Linked DNA regions of Caenorhabditis elegans. The protein of the gene in region 2 interacts with the protein of the main gene of each other region in a pairwise test. Each region holds a gene or a part of one and is shown on either strand. Other genes may lie near its edges.

The links.
Region 1: the proteins of prp-8 (region 2) and tbg-1 interact in a two-hybrid assay, tested with the Caenorhabditis elegans proteins (one large-scale study listed by BioGRID).

Annotation. Positions count from the first base shown.
Region 1 is NC_003281.10:9,625,808-9,632,591, forward strand, and holds tbg-1 (Tubulin gamma chain), read right to left. Parts: upstream 3,348-6,784; coding exon 3,244-3,347; intron 2,957-3,243; coding exon 2,720-2,956; intron 2,672-2,719; coding exon 2,409-2,671; intron 2,210-2,408; coding exon 2,000-2,209; intron 1,946-1,999; coding exon 1,740-1,945; intron 1,185-1,739; coding exon 870-1,184; 3' UTR 725-869; downstream 1-724. Other genes in the region: hlh-11 (Helix-loop-helix protein 11), read left to right, coding at 1-106; rpac-19 (putative DNA-directed RNA polymerases I and III subunit RPAC2), read right to left, coding at 3,543-3,729, 3,779-3,882, 3,929-4,072; ubc-7 (putative ubiquitin-conjugating enzyme E2 7), read right to left, coding at 4,668-4,742, 4,790-4,968, 5,016-5,113, 5,159-5,261, 5,317-5,356. UniProt on the Caenorhabditis elegans protein: Tubulin is the major constituent of microtubules. The gamma chain is found at microtubule organizing centers (MTOC) such as the spindle poles or the centrosome, suggesting that it is involved in the minus-end nucleation of microtubule assembly.
Region 2 is NC_003281.10:8,162,533-8,169,316, forward strand, and holds the start of prp-8 (Pre-mRNA-splicing factor 8 homolog), read left to right. Parts: upstream 1-1,840; 5' UTR 1,841-1,844; coding exon 1,845-2,674; intron 2,675-2,728; coding exon 2,729-2,966; intron 2,967-3,007; exon of another isoform or gene 3,008-3,140; intron 3,141-3,166; coding exon 3,167-3,386; intron 3,387-3,458; coding exon 3,459-4,203; intron 4,204-4,251; coding exon 4,252-5,668; intron 5,669-5,681; exon of another isoform or gene 5,682-5,851; intron 5,852-5,899; coding exon 5,900-6,784. Other genes in the region: bath-42 (BTB and MATH domain-containing protein 42), read right to left, coding at 1-360, 411-679, 734-794. UniProt on the Caenorhabditis elegans protein: Functions as a scaffold that mediates the ordered assembly of spliceosomal proteins and snRNAs. Required for the assembly of the U4/U6-U5 tri-snRNP complex.

The DNA.
Region 1 (6,784 bases), 1.5 Mb from region 2:
GTCTCAATCAATGCAAACAATTGTTGAAGCTATTCGTCATTTGGAGGGAAGTCATTTCATTCCAACATCTCCTCCACCAACCTCACAGACATCGCTCGTCCGTTGAGCCTGACTTTTGACAAATGTAGAGTTACAATTACAAATACAATTATCAAATTTTCCACGTTTCATAATCTCTCTCTCTTTCTCTTTTTCTCTCTTTCTTTCTTCAGGTTGATCCTGTTTTTTGCTCTTCATCTTTTTTCTCTCTCTCACCAGGCACAGTATCTATCATTTTTATCACAAAATTTGATGAATTTTTGTTCTTTTCCCATTTTTCTTCTTGTTTTAGGTATACTACTTGTTGTGTTTCTATGAAATGTTTTTTTCCAAAATTTTTTGTGCCGATTGTGGTCTTCTTGTCATTTTTCTTCTAATCAATCTAGCTTCCTTATTTCCCGCGCTCTCACGGACCTATCCATTGTTTCGTTCTCCCCACCGATAACTTTTTGTTTTTTCATTTTCCTTTTTTTCCAGTCTTGTTCATCTCCAGACACTGCCCCGTTACTTTTACACAAATCGTGTCGATTTCCTCTTTTTTTCATTTTTCACCCGGTGGTTTTGTTGACCGTATGTGCAGCTTGAAACACTTTCATTTTCAGACCTCAATATGTCTCTCTATTGCTATCGCGCAATAATCATAACTAAATAATTTAAATAAACCTCAATAGTACAACCACTGAGACAAGAGTACCAATATTTATGTGAAAATTATGATGATGATGAGGAGCACATGATATAAATAATACAATAAACACAGCATATGATAATCGACAGAGATCCGTTTTAAGAAGTGAATGAGAATCCCGCGAGAATAAATAATAATAAATCTAAAGCCCTCTTGTCAGATAGTCCTTTTGTACGACCGCCTTGTACTCGTCCAGCAAGTCTTGCACAATGTGCATTGCATCGTCCATCATATCCAGCGAGAAATTGTCAATCTTTTCAAACTTGTCGATGAAGGCTCTCTTTGATCGTAGTTTGTCGTATTTGGAGAGAAGCGATTCGAATAACGGAGCCACGCTTGTGCTGTTATTGAGCAAGAGTCCAGATACTTTGTATTGTGGCCGAACATATGGAGAGAGTGGAGCATGCATCATTCGAAGTGGTTTAAGCATGTAGAATGGAGGCCTTCTGATTGCGAACTGAAATTTGATTTTATTGATTTGATGCTTTAAGGTGGATTATAGAAAAATAACGAAAAAAAGTCATTATTAATCACTAATTTTGTCTTTAAAATAGTGATTTTATTGGTGCATTTTTGATTTTCTGACTAATGTGTTATTTGAATTGCCACGCTTTTGTCAAATTTCCAAGTTTCTAAAAATTTTTTACTTCATGTCAAAAATACTTTTTAAAAAAGTTTGCTTCACAATTGCTGATTCGTCAAAATAAGCGCTCATTTTTGCAATGTAATTTGAAGATTTTTTTCGTTTGCAGTATCTCGGTATTTGTGACCGCCTTCGTGTTTTGAGAATAAAATCTACATCTCCAAAATTAGCTTACGAAAATTTTTCGTTTTTCCGATATCTCGAAAAATATTTTTTAAAGTTGCTTATTTTTATTTTTAGAAAATATTTATATGCTTTCTTATAGTTTTCATGAACATAAACAAAATTTGATAAAAATTGAATTTTATGGTTGATTTAGTAAATTTATTTTTCAATTTTCCCGGAAATTCTTTAAAGTATTGAGCTTACATCAACGTTTTGCTCAGCAGTCATAATTGTATGTGCCTCAATTTGTCCTTGAAGGAACATGTAAGCTGATAGCATGCAGTCATTTGGCCGAACCCGAGAAGCAGTTGAAACCATCATTGAAGTTGGTTTTAACAAGAAGCGAGTGACGTCAGCGACTGAAGTTTTTCGGGTAAAGTTCTCATTTGGATCGACAACAGGAGAGATAGCTGCAAAAAACAAAATAAATAGATAAAATAACATATTTCGGAATAAAAACAAACCGGATTGAATAAAGTGCATTGGTGGAAACGGAGCCAAATCCAAATACCGAATTGATGGGCACATTGCAGAGTTGAATCGATATGGAGCAGTGGAAGTGCTCATGATTCGGGCGACAAGAGAATTGATATGATCAAATGTTGGTGTATCTGTTTTGAATTTTCCAGCCGCAAGACGGTGCAGTGCAGCATTATCGAGGACAACAACATGATCTGAAAACTATTTATTTGAAATTCCTTTTTTTTATTATTACTCAGATACAAAAATTGAGACGGTACCCGGTCTTTTTCACTTAATGCGAATATATGTGAGCCTTTTAAGGGTACTGTAATTTCAAACGTTCGTTGTTGCGGAATTTTCATAGATTTTTCGATAAATCATTGTCATTTCGTTTTTAATTTATTAACTTACCAGGATTCTCAATAAGTCTTTGCATAGAAAGTACCCAGTTATATGGATGAACAACAACGTCAGTACTGGTGTCACTATTTGCAAAAACACTGTAAGTTTGAATAACTTTCTTCGGAAATGCTTCGCGAAGCCTTTCGAGCAAGAGAGATCCCGTTCCAGATCCAGTTCCTCCAGAAACACTATGAGTAAATAGAATTCCATCCAAATTGTTCGTATTTTCAGCCTCTCGAATGATGATATCCATTATCTTCTCTTGAACTTCTCTTAAATATTATTTATCATTGATTTTCAATTAAAGAAATACAACTCACTGTCCTTGACAATATCCACTTGCCCAATTATTTCCAGCACCACCTCCGTGATCGGACATGAATATATTGTCCGTATTGAAAAGATTCGAAAAGTTTGGAGACTGCATCATTCCGTTGATTACACGAGGTTCTAGATCGACTAGAACTGCTCTTGGCACATAATGATCGTCATCAGCCTGGTAGAACAATAGATCTTTCTTATCATTCATATCGTCTTCGTGAGTTGTTTGTCCACGTCTGAAAACGAAAAAAATTGTTATATTTATCAAAATTATGAGGCTGAATTATGACCTTGAATAAATTGCGTCTTAAATTATTTAACTTAGCAAAAATGTTTGTTTCATCTCAAACAAAAGTAAAATAATTCATATTTTGTTTTCAATCATGTCGATTCACGAGAACAATTCACAATTGCAGCATTTCAGTATTGAAATATAAAAATTGCAATAGTTTTCACATTTCGGACTGTGGTATATCGAATTTTGCCTAATTGAAATTGTCGGTGCCTCAAATTTATTCCCTACTCATTGATTCCATGTTCGTCGACCATCGATTTCCAGAAGGCTTGAGCAAGCTGATTTCCGCACTGTCCAACGTGGACAGTCATCAAGGCACCCGTACCGGACATCTGGAGATTTGGATTGAGAAAATCTTTGATGCAAACAAAAATATGGCATATTTTGAATAAAACATAAAAACGTGAATCACAAATAATTATCTTTGCCAATACAAATTTTTCATTTCAGATTGAAATGGGTGAAGTCAAACAAAAACATCAAAACAACAAAATGGATAACAAATAATGACAAAATGAATAGCAATTTTACGATTGGCTTTGCTCATAAGACTCTTCAAATTTCCCTCTAATCGTGGAAAAAATTTGTTCAACACTTTCGAATGCCTTCGCGAGAACTTCCAGAGCATTAATACCATCCTTTGTCTGCACTCTGAACAAAATCTTGTCTTCCAGAGGATGTGGAACGTTGTAACCACAAAATTCAACTTCATCCCTGAAATTAAACAACAATTACATCTGATCGATTCGTTCGTAAAACATACATTCTGCTCAAAATGTGCTTGATTGAATTTCCAATAGTGTGATCTTCCTCGTACATGATAAGCGTCAAATTAGATGGATCTTGTTCGAAACTTTTTGGGTCCAGCTGTAAAACAGAACATTTTTTTAGAGGAATAGTGTAGAAAACTTACAATTTCCATTTTCTTTTTTGAAGGTACGTTCAAATCTTCTTCGTCGTCCACTTGTGGGGTTTCCTGTGGTTGTTCGTCGACTTCCATTGTTTCTGCTTCTACCTTTTCAGCTTCTTCTACTATCTTTTCATTTTTCTTTCCCATTTCGAGCTGAAAATCACTTTTAATAACTGAAACAGATCAAATTAAAAAAATAATTTTTAAATATTTTCCAAATGAAGCCCCGCCTCTTTTTGCAACGCTCGCACGCAGTTTTTGCAATTGCGAGGCACGCGGAACGGTTTTCGTTATTTTCCGTCTAATGTATTTCGAACGAATGACATATTTATCAGAGATGAAATTGATTGTATTTAGTGAAAAAAAAATTTTATTTTCTCATAAAAGATAAGAAGTAGCATCACGAGGATTGTGAATTCATACCAAACAAATAAACATGTGGTACCGCTCTCAGAAAAAAAACGAGTTGCATAGTTGTAACTATAGTTTGGATGTTAACAAAAGGAAAAGAGCACCACCACTAGACAAAAAAAAATTACGAAGCAAATTCACAGGTTTTGCGTTCAAAAAAATGTTAAGGGGAATAAAAAGTAACGAGTCCAACGCTTATGAGGAAAGAAATTAGAAACACGTGGTGTCAAAAAATGGGGTGAATGAGTAAGAAAAAGAAGATCAAAGTGGATAGTTTCATATGAACGACGAGTTAAATTAATGCTTCTTCTCTGTTGATGCAATGTTCAAATCATTCTTCTTGACTTCTGCGAACACATTGAGCAACTTTCTTTTTGAACTCGGCGTAGTTTTCACGTTGCATTTTCTGAAAAAATTAAAATATTTCGGTTATTTTTCATTGTTTAGACGAACCGCTGCATCAACGTTTGCAGGAGATTCAAAGTTAGGATCCGTGAGCATTGAGATGACAGAAAGAAGGATCGTCTCGACAGTATGCACAGGCAGCCAACGCTCTTCCGGACGTTCGTAACCCCACTTATCATCTCCGGGATCGTGAAGAATCGAGATGCACACGTTACCTTCCTTGTCAACTGAAATATTTTATGTGTAAAATCGACTTGTTTCAGTAAATACTAACTGTTTGGATGCCAAATTTCCGAAATGAACTTCATCTTTGGTGGTTTTTGTGGGTAATCCCTTGGAAAGTCGAGAATAGCCTTGAAGAAACCTCCCTCGCTGCAAGAAAAAACTAATTACAATTTTCACAAACAAACAACTTACTAGAGAGTATCTGGTGGTCCGATCACCAGGACTTCCCATTTGTAGATGTCATTGTCATCGACGAGACCTGCCGAGAATCCGTCGACTGGAACTCTGCGCATGTCTGGAAACAGAAAAAAGTTAGTTTTGATCATAGATCACGTTTAATCCCAACTCACCTGCCAGCTGTTTCTTCAGAAGTAGGGAGGATTGCTCCATCTATCTAGAAATAAATATAGAATTATCGATTAATTTGAATGAAATTAAGCAAAAACGTGGTGTATTTTTCAGGAACACGCACCAATAAATCGATGGTTACGAAATTTCAAAAAATTAAGAAGAGAGTAATTATACTTCTTTTTACGTGGAAAAAATATCGATTGCACATGATTAAACCATTTAAAAATCTTTTGAAAATAAAAAAATAAATTTGAGAAACTAATTCTCGATAAATAGCGGCGACGAAGGTGCCAGTAGCGACTGAACAAGAAAGTGAAAACGTGATTGTCAAAGGCGCACGCATTTTAGAAGTTGGGTCTTGCCACGCTATCTTGAAATGCGCGCTTTTTCAAATTTTAAAAGTTGCAGCGCGAATTTATAGGGTTTAAATACTTATATTTCAAGCCTAGGAATGCAAAAATATGCCTTTAAAATTGAAATAACCGATATTTAGAAATTAAAAAATATAAATGTTTTCCATATTATCCAGACGCGGTATTTTGAGATTTTTGTTTCAAAAGTACGGTACCCGGTCTCGACACGACATAAATATTTTTGTTAAATGTGAAAAGGGCTTCAATGAGTACTGTGATTTGAAATTTTTTTGTTGTTTTTTTCACGATTTTTGTTCATCATCGAAGAATTATGAAAAATCAATGAAAGTTCCGTAGCAACGAGAGTTGAAAAATACAGTACTTTTTAAAGGCGCACATCTTTTCGCAGATAACAAAAATTTATCATGTGGAGATCAGGTACCGTATTTTTGGTACAAAAATCCCAAACTGTCGCGTCTTCGTAATATCCCTGTAATTTTATTGATAAAATCAATTGATTCAAAAGTTTATTCAATTAAAATTTTATTTTCTTCAAAACGAAAATAAAAATTTGAAATATTGTTGTCACACCACGCAAAACGATTGATCGGATGATACAGGATAATTCGAATTTACGAAAAAAAAACTTTTTACATATTACAATGATGGCTCTACTGAAAAAAACCCCCTGAGCAATAGAAAAATGTTCATTTTTTCGGGCGAACATTCGAGGACACACAAAAAATATATATGTTTGAGAACAGACAAAAAAGAACGAAAAAAAAAACGACGAATGATGAATGAAAGATTTGATTAGATTCGAGGGAATGTGTGCCAGTAGAGGGATGACAGCATCCTTCTAATTATTAATAGATCTCGGTGCATGCAGTGAAAGAATTCTTTGAATGATTTCAATAGTGAGACAAAAAAAGTGGAAAGATTGTTTGGGAGGGAGGGGCTTATGAATCGGCGCGAATCGGGAGTCACATTTTTACAAACACGGGTTTTTGAATTCCAGACAATCTTTTAGATGACAATAAAGAAGTGGAATATTTTCAGAAAGGGGGAAAAGTTCACCGACATAAAAGTTAGAAAAGGGGAAGCAATGGCCACG
Region 2 (6,784 bases):
TATATGTTTATTGCCAACATGAATCACACAATCGGTGAATAGCTCATCTTCCCACATACTTCGATTATTTGCGCGTACAATTACTTCAGGCATTTCTTCTTGCTCCTCTGTGCTAACATCTTCGTCCACAACTGGCTCAACTGATATTTTTGATCCAGGAGGGAAGTATTCAACTTCACAAATCAAAAAGAGAGTTCCGTCAGATCGAAGTGCCCCAAGCATCTTATCACGCGAAACTTGGAACTTTCCACGCCCTTGTTGGTTTGTGAAATCTTTGGTATCTCTGCATACACTGACTCTTTGATTATTAGCATCGAGAGCATAAATTTGAAATTCTGTCATGATGGGCTCCTCTCCTCTCTGAAAAAGGTTTTTATATTTTATATATAGAAAATATGAATGAAACTTACGGCTAATCCAACTTGTCTCAAGAAAAACGATACATTATTCACATCTTCATCACGCTTTCCATTTGGATACACATGAAGTTCCCAGCAAACTGTTGGCGCATCAGGGACACTAAACATTCTTGAAATAAGATTCGAACCGTTTTTGATTAGTTTCATCAATTTCTCAAATTGTTCGATTTTCCATTCCAATTTTGTAGAAAGTGCCGTCACACGCGTTGCTTGCTTCGAAACTACTTCTAGACGGCGAGGTTGTGGAGGAAGATCGTCAGCTGAAAATGAAAATAATGTTAAACTCTCAAATTAATTGAGCTATTCTCACTAACCTCTGGAACTGATTGTGCGATTAATCTGCTCCGTGGATGACCACGAGGAACGTGAAGACATATTATATTGCGAATAAGTTTTACCTCTGTTGATAAGTTGAGCGAGCAAGAGGTTATTCTGAAAATAAATTCAATTAAAAGAAAGCTATTCCCGATAATCTCGATAAAAATAAAAGAAAATGATTAAATTCAAAAAGACACAACAACTGGGAAACTCCGCGAATGAATTATTTACGAAAAGCAGGAGTTCTTTGTTAGAGTTACGAAATAAGCAATACGATTTTCGAAACCGATCTACGAAAAATTACACATATTAGAAAAGTATTAAAATTACGAAATCGCCGTTTGATATTCGAAAATACTACCTTTTTTTTAAGTTGGACAGTTTTTAAAGTTTTCAAAAGGAGATCTTCATGAACTCGTCTATGAGGAATAAATGTGGTACATTTCAATATAAAATGGGTAACAATGACAGTTTGGAAATAATTTCCTTTTCGAAAAATTGATATTTGTACAAAATTCGGAACAGTTTCGAAAAAATGATATTACCCCAGTCACATGACTTGAAAAAGGAAAAGTTGCAATTCAGAAGCTTTACTCAGATTCTGAGGGCAATAGAAAATGCCAATAAGTTTTCGAAAAATCAATAAATTTTTTCGGGCAGATGTCTTTCCTCGGCGGCGGCGAACGCGAACGCAAATAATGGCTGCCAAGAAGAGGCGGGTCTATTGATCGAAACATTACGCCGAAGAGTGTTTGAATTACCGGGCACCGTAACCTCAAACACCTGCAGATCTAAGTACGACGCTCCACTCGACACAATTGCGCGCGTTGTTTAGATTTAAGGAAATTTAAATTTTACTTTCGAAAATAGAAATTATCGGTTTTTATTCATGATTTTCTGGTTCAGTCTGAATAAATTCCGTTTTTTAATGTAAATTTTGTGCGCTATTAACTGTAATGCACAATTCCAACTATCAATTCATGTGATCTTACAGTCTAAACAAAGACAAATCTCTCTTTCCAGTTTCTCTACAGTAATACTTATTTTTCCTTGCTCGTCAACTCATTGATTAGTTTTAATTCTATTTTTATATAGTGTGTTATAGGTATGGCCAACTACGGCGGTCATCCCCAAACTGAACCACATGCTATCCCGGATTCAATTCTGGAAGAAAAGTCTCGAAAATGGAAACAACTTCAAGGAAAGCGGTATTCGGAGAAAAAGAAGTTTGGAATGTCCGATACGCAGAAAGAAGAAATGCCACCTGAGCACGTCCGAAAAGTTATCAGAGATCATGGTGATATGACTTCTCGCAAATATCGTCATGATAAAAGAGTCTACCTCGGTGCTTTGAAATATATGCCACATGCCGTTTTGAAGCTACTGGAGAACATGCCGATGCCCTGGGAACAAATCAGAGATGTAAAAGTTCTGTATCACATCACCGGTGCGATCACTTTTGTCAACGACATTCCGCGTGTCATCGAGCCGGTCTACATGGCACAATGGGGAACGATGTGGATTATGATGAGAAGAGAAAAACGTGATCGTCGTCATTTCAAGCGAATGAGATTCCCTCCATTTGACGATGAAGAACCGCCTCTCGATTATGCTGATAATATTCTGGATGTCGAGCCTTTAGAGCCAATTCAAATGGAACTAGATCCAGAAGAAGACGGAGCTGTTGCTGAATGGTTCTACGATCACAAGCCTCTTGCAACAACTCGATTTGTGAACGGCCCAACGTACAGAAAATGGGCATTCAGTATTCCACAGATGTCCACATTGTATCGTCTTGCAAATCAGCTGCTTACCGATTTAGTAGATGATAACTACTTCTACTTGTTTGACATGAAAAGTTTCTTCACTGCTAAAGCACTCAACGTTGCAATTCCAGGAGGCCCGAAGTTCGAACCATTGGTAAAAGATTTACATACGTAAGTGAAAAGCTTCCAGTTGTGTTATGACGCATACTATTTTATTATTTTCAGTGATGAAGACTGGAACGAGTTCAATGATATCAATAAAGTTATTATTCGAGCTCCAATTCGTACCGAGTACAGAATTGCATTCCCATTCATGTACAACAATCTGATCAGCTCGCTGCCTGTTCAAGTTTCATGGTATCATACTCCTTCAGTTGTATTTATCAAAACTGAAGACCCAGATCTTCCCGCATTCTACTATGATCCATTGATCAATCCAATCGTTCTCAGCAACTTGAAAGCAGTGAGTTATTTACAAGTTTCAGCAATGTTTTAAAATAAAATGCGGATATTATAAACAGATTCCTATAAATTTACAAGGTAGTCAGTAGCCGAAATTCGCAATATAAATTTTCCATTAAAGGCGAGAAATCATCCTTTTTGTCGGTGATATCTAGAAATAAAACTGGAGACAATTCGTATTGTATGTCAAAACATTTTCAGACTGAAGAAAATCTACCAGAAGGTGAAGAGGAAGACGAGTGGGAGCTGCCTGAAGATGTTCGACCCATTTTTGAAGACGTTCCACTCTACACCGATAACACGGCTAATGGTTTAGCACTTCTATGGGCCCCTCGGCCATTCAATCTTCGATCGGGAAGAACGAGAAGAGCAGTGGATGTACCACTTGTCAAATCGTGGTATAGAGAACATTGTCCAGCAGGTTAGTTTTGTTTCTATTTTTTTCGTTTCGTTTCTCGCATACTAAGCTGAAATAATATATTCAATTTTTCAGGAATGCCCGTGAAAGTTCGTGTTTCTTATCAGAAACTGCTCAAGGTGTTTGTTCTGAACGCTCTCAAACATCGTCCACCGAAGCCCCAGAAGCGTCGTTATCTGTTCCGTTCCTTCAAGGCAACAAAATTCTTCCAAACAACCACCCTGGATTGGGTAGAAGCTGGATTGCAAGTTCTTCGTCAAGGATACAACATGCTCAATTTGCTCATTCACCGAAAGAATCTCAACTATCTTCATCTTGATTACAACTTCAATTTGAAACCAGTTAAAACATTGACAACAAAGGAAAGAAAGAAATCTCGTTTCGGAAATGCATTCCATTTGTGCAGAGAAATCCTTCGTCTCACAAAACTTGTTGTTGATGCCCATGTTCAGTATCGTTTGAACAACGTCGATGCGTACCAACTTGCAGATGGTCTACAATATATCTTTGCTCACGTCGGTCAACTGACCGGAATGTATCGTTACAAGTACAAGCTCATGAGACAAGTCAGAATGTGCAAGGATCTCAAGCATCTCATCTACTATCGTTTCAACACTGGGCCGGTTGGTAAAGGACCTGGATGTGGTTTTTGGGCTCCGGGATGGAGAGTTTGGTTGTTCTTCTTGCGTGGAATCACACCACTGCTCGAGAGATGGCTTGGAAATCTGTTGTCTCGACAATTCGAAGGAAGACATTCAAAGGGAGTGGCCAAGACAGTCACCAAGCAAAGAGTTGAATCTCATTTCGATCTTGAATTACGGTAAGCTTTAAATGGCAAGAAAACGAATTTATTTATTAATATTTTCAGTGCTGCTGTCATGCATGACATTCTGGATATGATGCCGGACGGAATCAAACAAAATAAGGCTCGTGTTATTCTTCAGCATTTGTCAGAGGCGTGGAGATGTTGGAAGGCTAATATTCCATGGAAGGTTCCCGGACTGCCAACTCCAGTTGAAAATATGATTCTACGTTATGTGAAAGCAAAGGCTGATTGGTGGACTAATTCGGCACATTACAACAGAGAACGTGTAAGACGAGGAGCGACAGTAGACAAAACTGTGTGCAAGAAGAACTTGGGTAGATTGACAAGATTATACCTGAAATCAGAGCAAGAAAGACAACACAATTACTTGAAGGACGGACCATATATCTCTGCAGAAGAAGCTGTTGCAATTTACACGACTACAGTACATTGGCTGGAATCAAGAAGATTTTCTCCGATTCCTTTCCCACCACTTTCTTACAAACACGACACAAAACTTCTTATTTTGGCTCTTGAAAGACTGAAGGAAAGTTACAGTGTGAAGAATAGATTGAATCAATCCCAAAGAGAAGAACTGGCTTTAATTGAACAGGCTTATGATAATCCTCACGAAGCTTTGTCTCGTATCAAGAGACACATGCTCACGCAGCGTGCATTCAAAGAAGTCGGAATTGAGTTTATGGATCTCTACACTCATCTTATTCCAGTCTACGATATCGAGCCTCTTGAGAAAGTCACTGACGCTTACCTCGATCAATACCTCTGGTATGAAGCAGACAAGAGAAGATTGTTCCCGGCATGGGTGAAACCAGGAGATACTGAACCACCACCGCTTCTTACATACAAATGGTGTCAAGGTCTCAACAATCTTCAAGATGTTTGGGAGACAAGTGAAGGAGAGTGTAATGTCATCATGGAAACAAAATTGGAGAAAATTGCTGAAAAAATGGATTTGACACTTCTCAATAGATTGCTCAGATTGATTGTGGATCACAATATTGCCGATTACATGACTTCGAAGAACAACGTTCTCATCAACTATAAGGATATGAACCACACCAATTCTTTCGGAATTATTCGTGGTCTACAATTTGCTTCGTTTATTGTTCAATTCTATGGATTAGTTCTTGATCTTCTTGTTCTTGGACTTCGACGAGCTTCCGAAATTGCCGGTCCGCCCCAATGTCCAAACGAGTTCTTGCAATTCCAGGATGTTGCCACAGAAATTGGTCACCCTATTCGTCTCTACTGCCGGTACATCGACCGAGTTTGGATCATGTTCCGTTTCAGTGCTGATGAAGCACGTGATTTGATTCAAAGATACTTGACAGAGCATCCAGATCCGAATAATGAGAATATTGTCGGTTATAACAACAAAAAGTGTTGGCCAAGAGACGCTAGAATGAGATTGATGAAACATGATGTCAATTTGGGTCGTGCTGTCTTCTGGGATATCAAGGTAAATTTTATTTTTAATTATTTTTTTAAAATTTTAACACGAGGTATAAGAAAGCGAGCAATTATTCGATGGCTGCTCGTTGATAATTCCTCGAAAACTAATGGAAATTAAGCGATTATCCGCCTCATGAACAGATCCATCATTTAACTTGAATGATAAGGTCTACTTGACAGGCGTACATTAAAATGTAGAATTTACTATTTTGATTTTTAAATATTTGTTATTTTACAGAACCGTCTCCCACGTTCCATCACAACTGTCGAGTGGGAAAATTCATTCGTATCAGTGTACAGTAAGGATAACCCGAACATGTTGTTCGACATGTCCGGATTCGAGTGTCGTATTCTACCAAAGTGTCGTACGGCTAATGAAGAGTTTGTTCATCGTGATGGTGTATGGAATCTTCAAAACGAAGTGACAAAGGAAAGAACTGCTCAGTGCTTCTTGAAGGTCGATGAGGAGTCATTGTCCAAATTCCATAACAGAATTCGTCAAATTTTGATGTCTTCTGGATCTACAACGTTCACCAAAATTGTCAACAAATGGAATACAGCATTGATCGGATTGATGACCTACTTCAGAGAAGCTGTTGTGAACACTCAAGAACTTTTGGATTTATTGGTGAAATGTGAGAATAAAATTCAAACGAGAATCAAGATTGGACTCAACTCAAAAATGCCCTCAAGATTCCCTCCAGTTGTTTTCTATACGCCAAAAGAAATCGGAGGACTTGGAATGCTATCTATGGGACACGTCTTGATCCCACAGTCTGATCTTCGATGGATGCAACAAACGGAAGCTGGAGGTGTCACTCACTTCCGTTCCGGAATGAGTCACGATGAAGACCAATTGATTCCAAATCTGTACAGATATATTCAACCTTGGGAAGCAGAGTTTGTCGATTCTGTTCGTGTGTGGGCAGAATATGCGCTCAAGAGACAAGAAGCCAACGCTCAAAATAGAAGACTCACTTTGGAAGATCTCGACGATTCATGGGATCGTGGAATTCCGAGAATCAATACTTTGTTCCAAAAAGATCGTCACACATTGGCATACGATAAAGGATGGCGTGTTAGAACCGAATTCAAGGCTTATCAAATTCTGAAGCAAAATCCA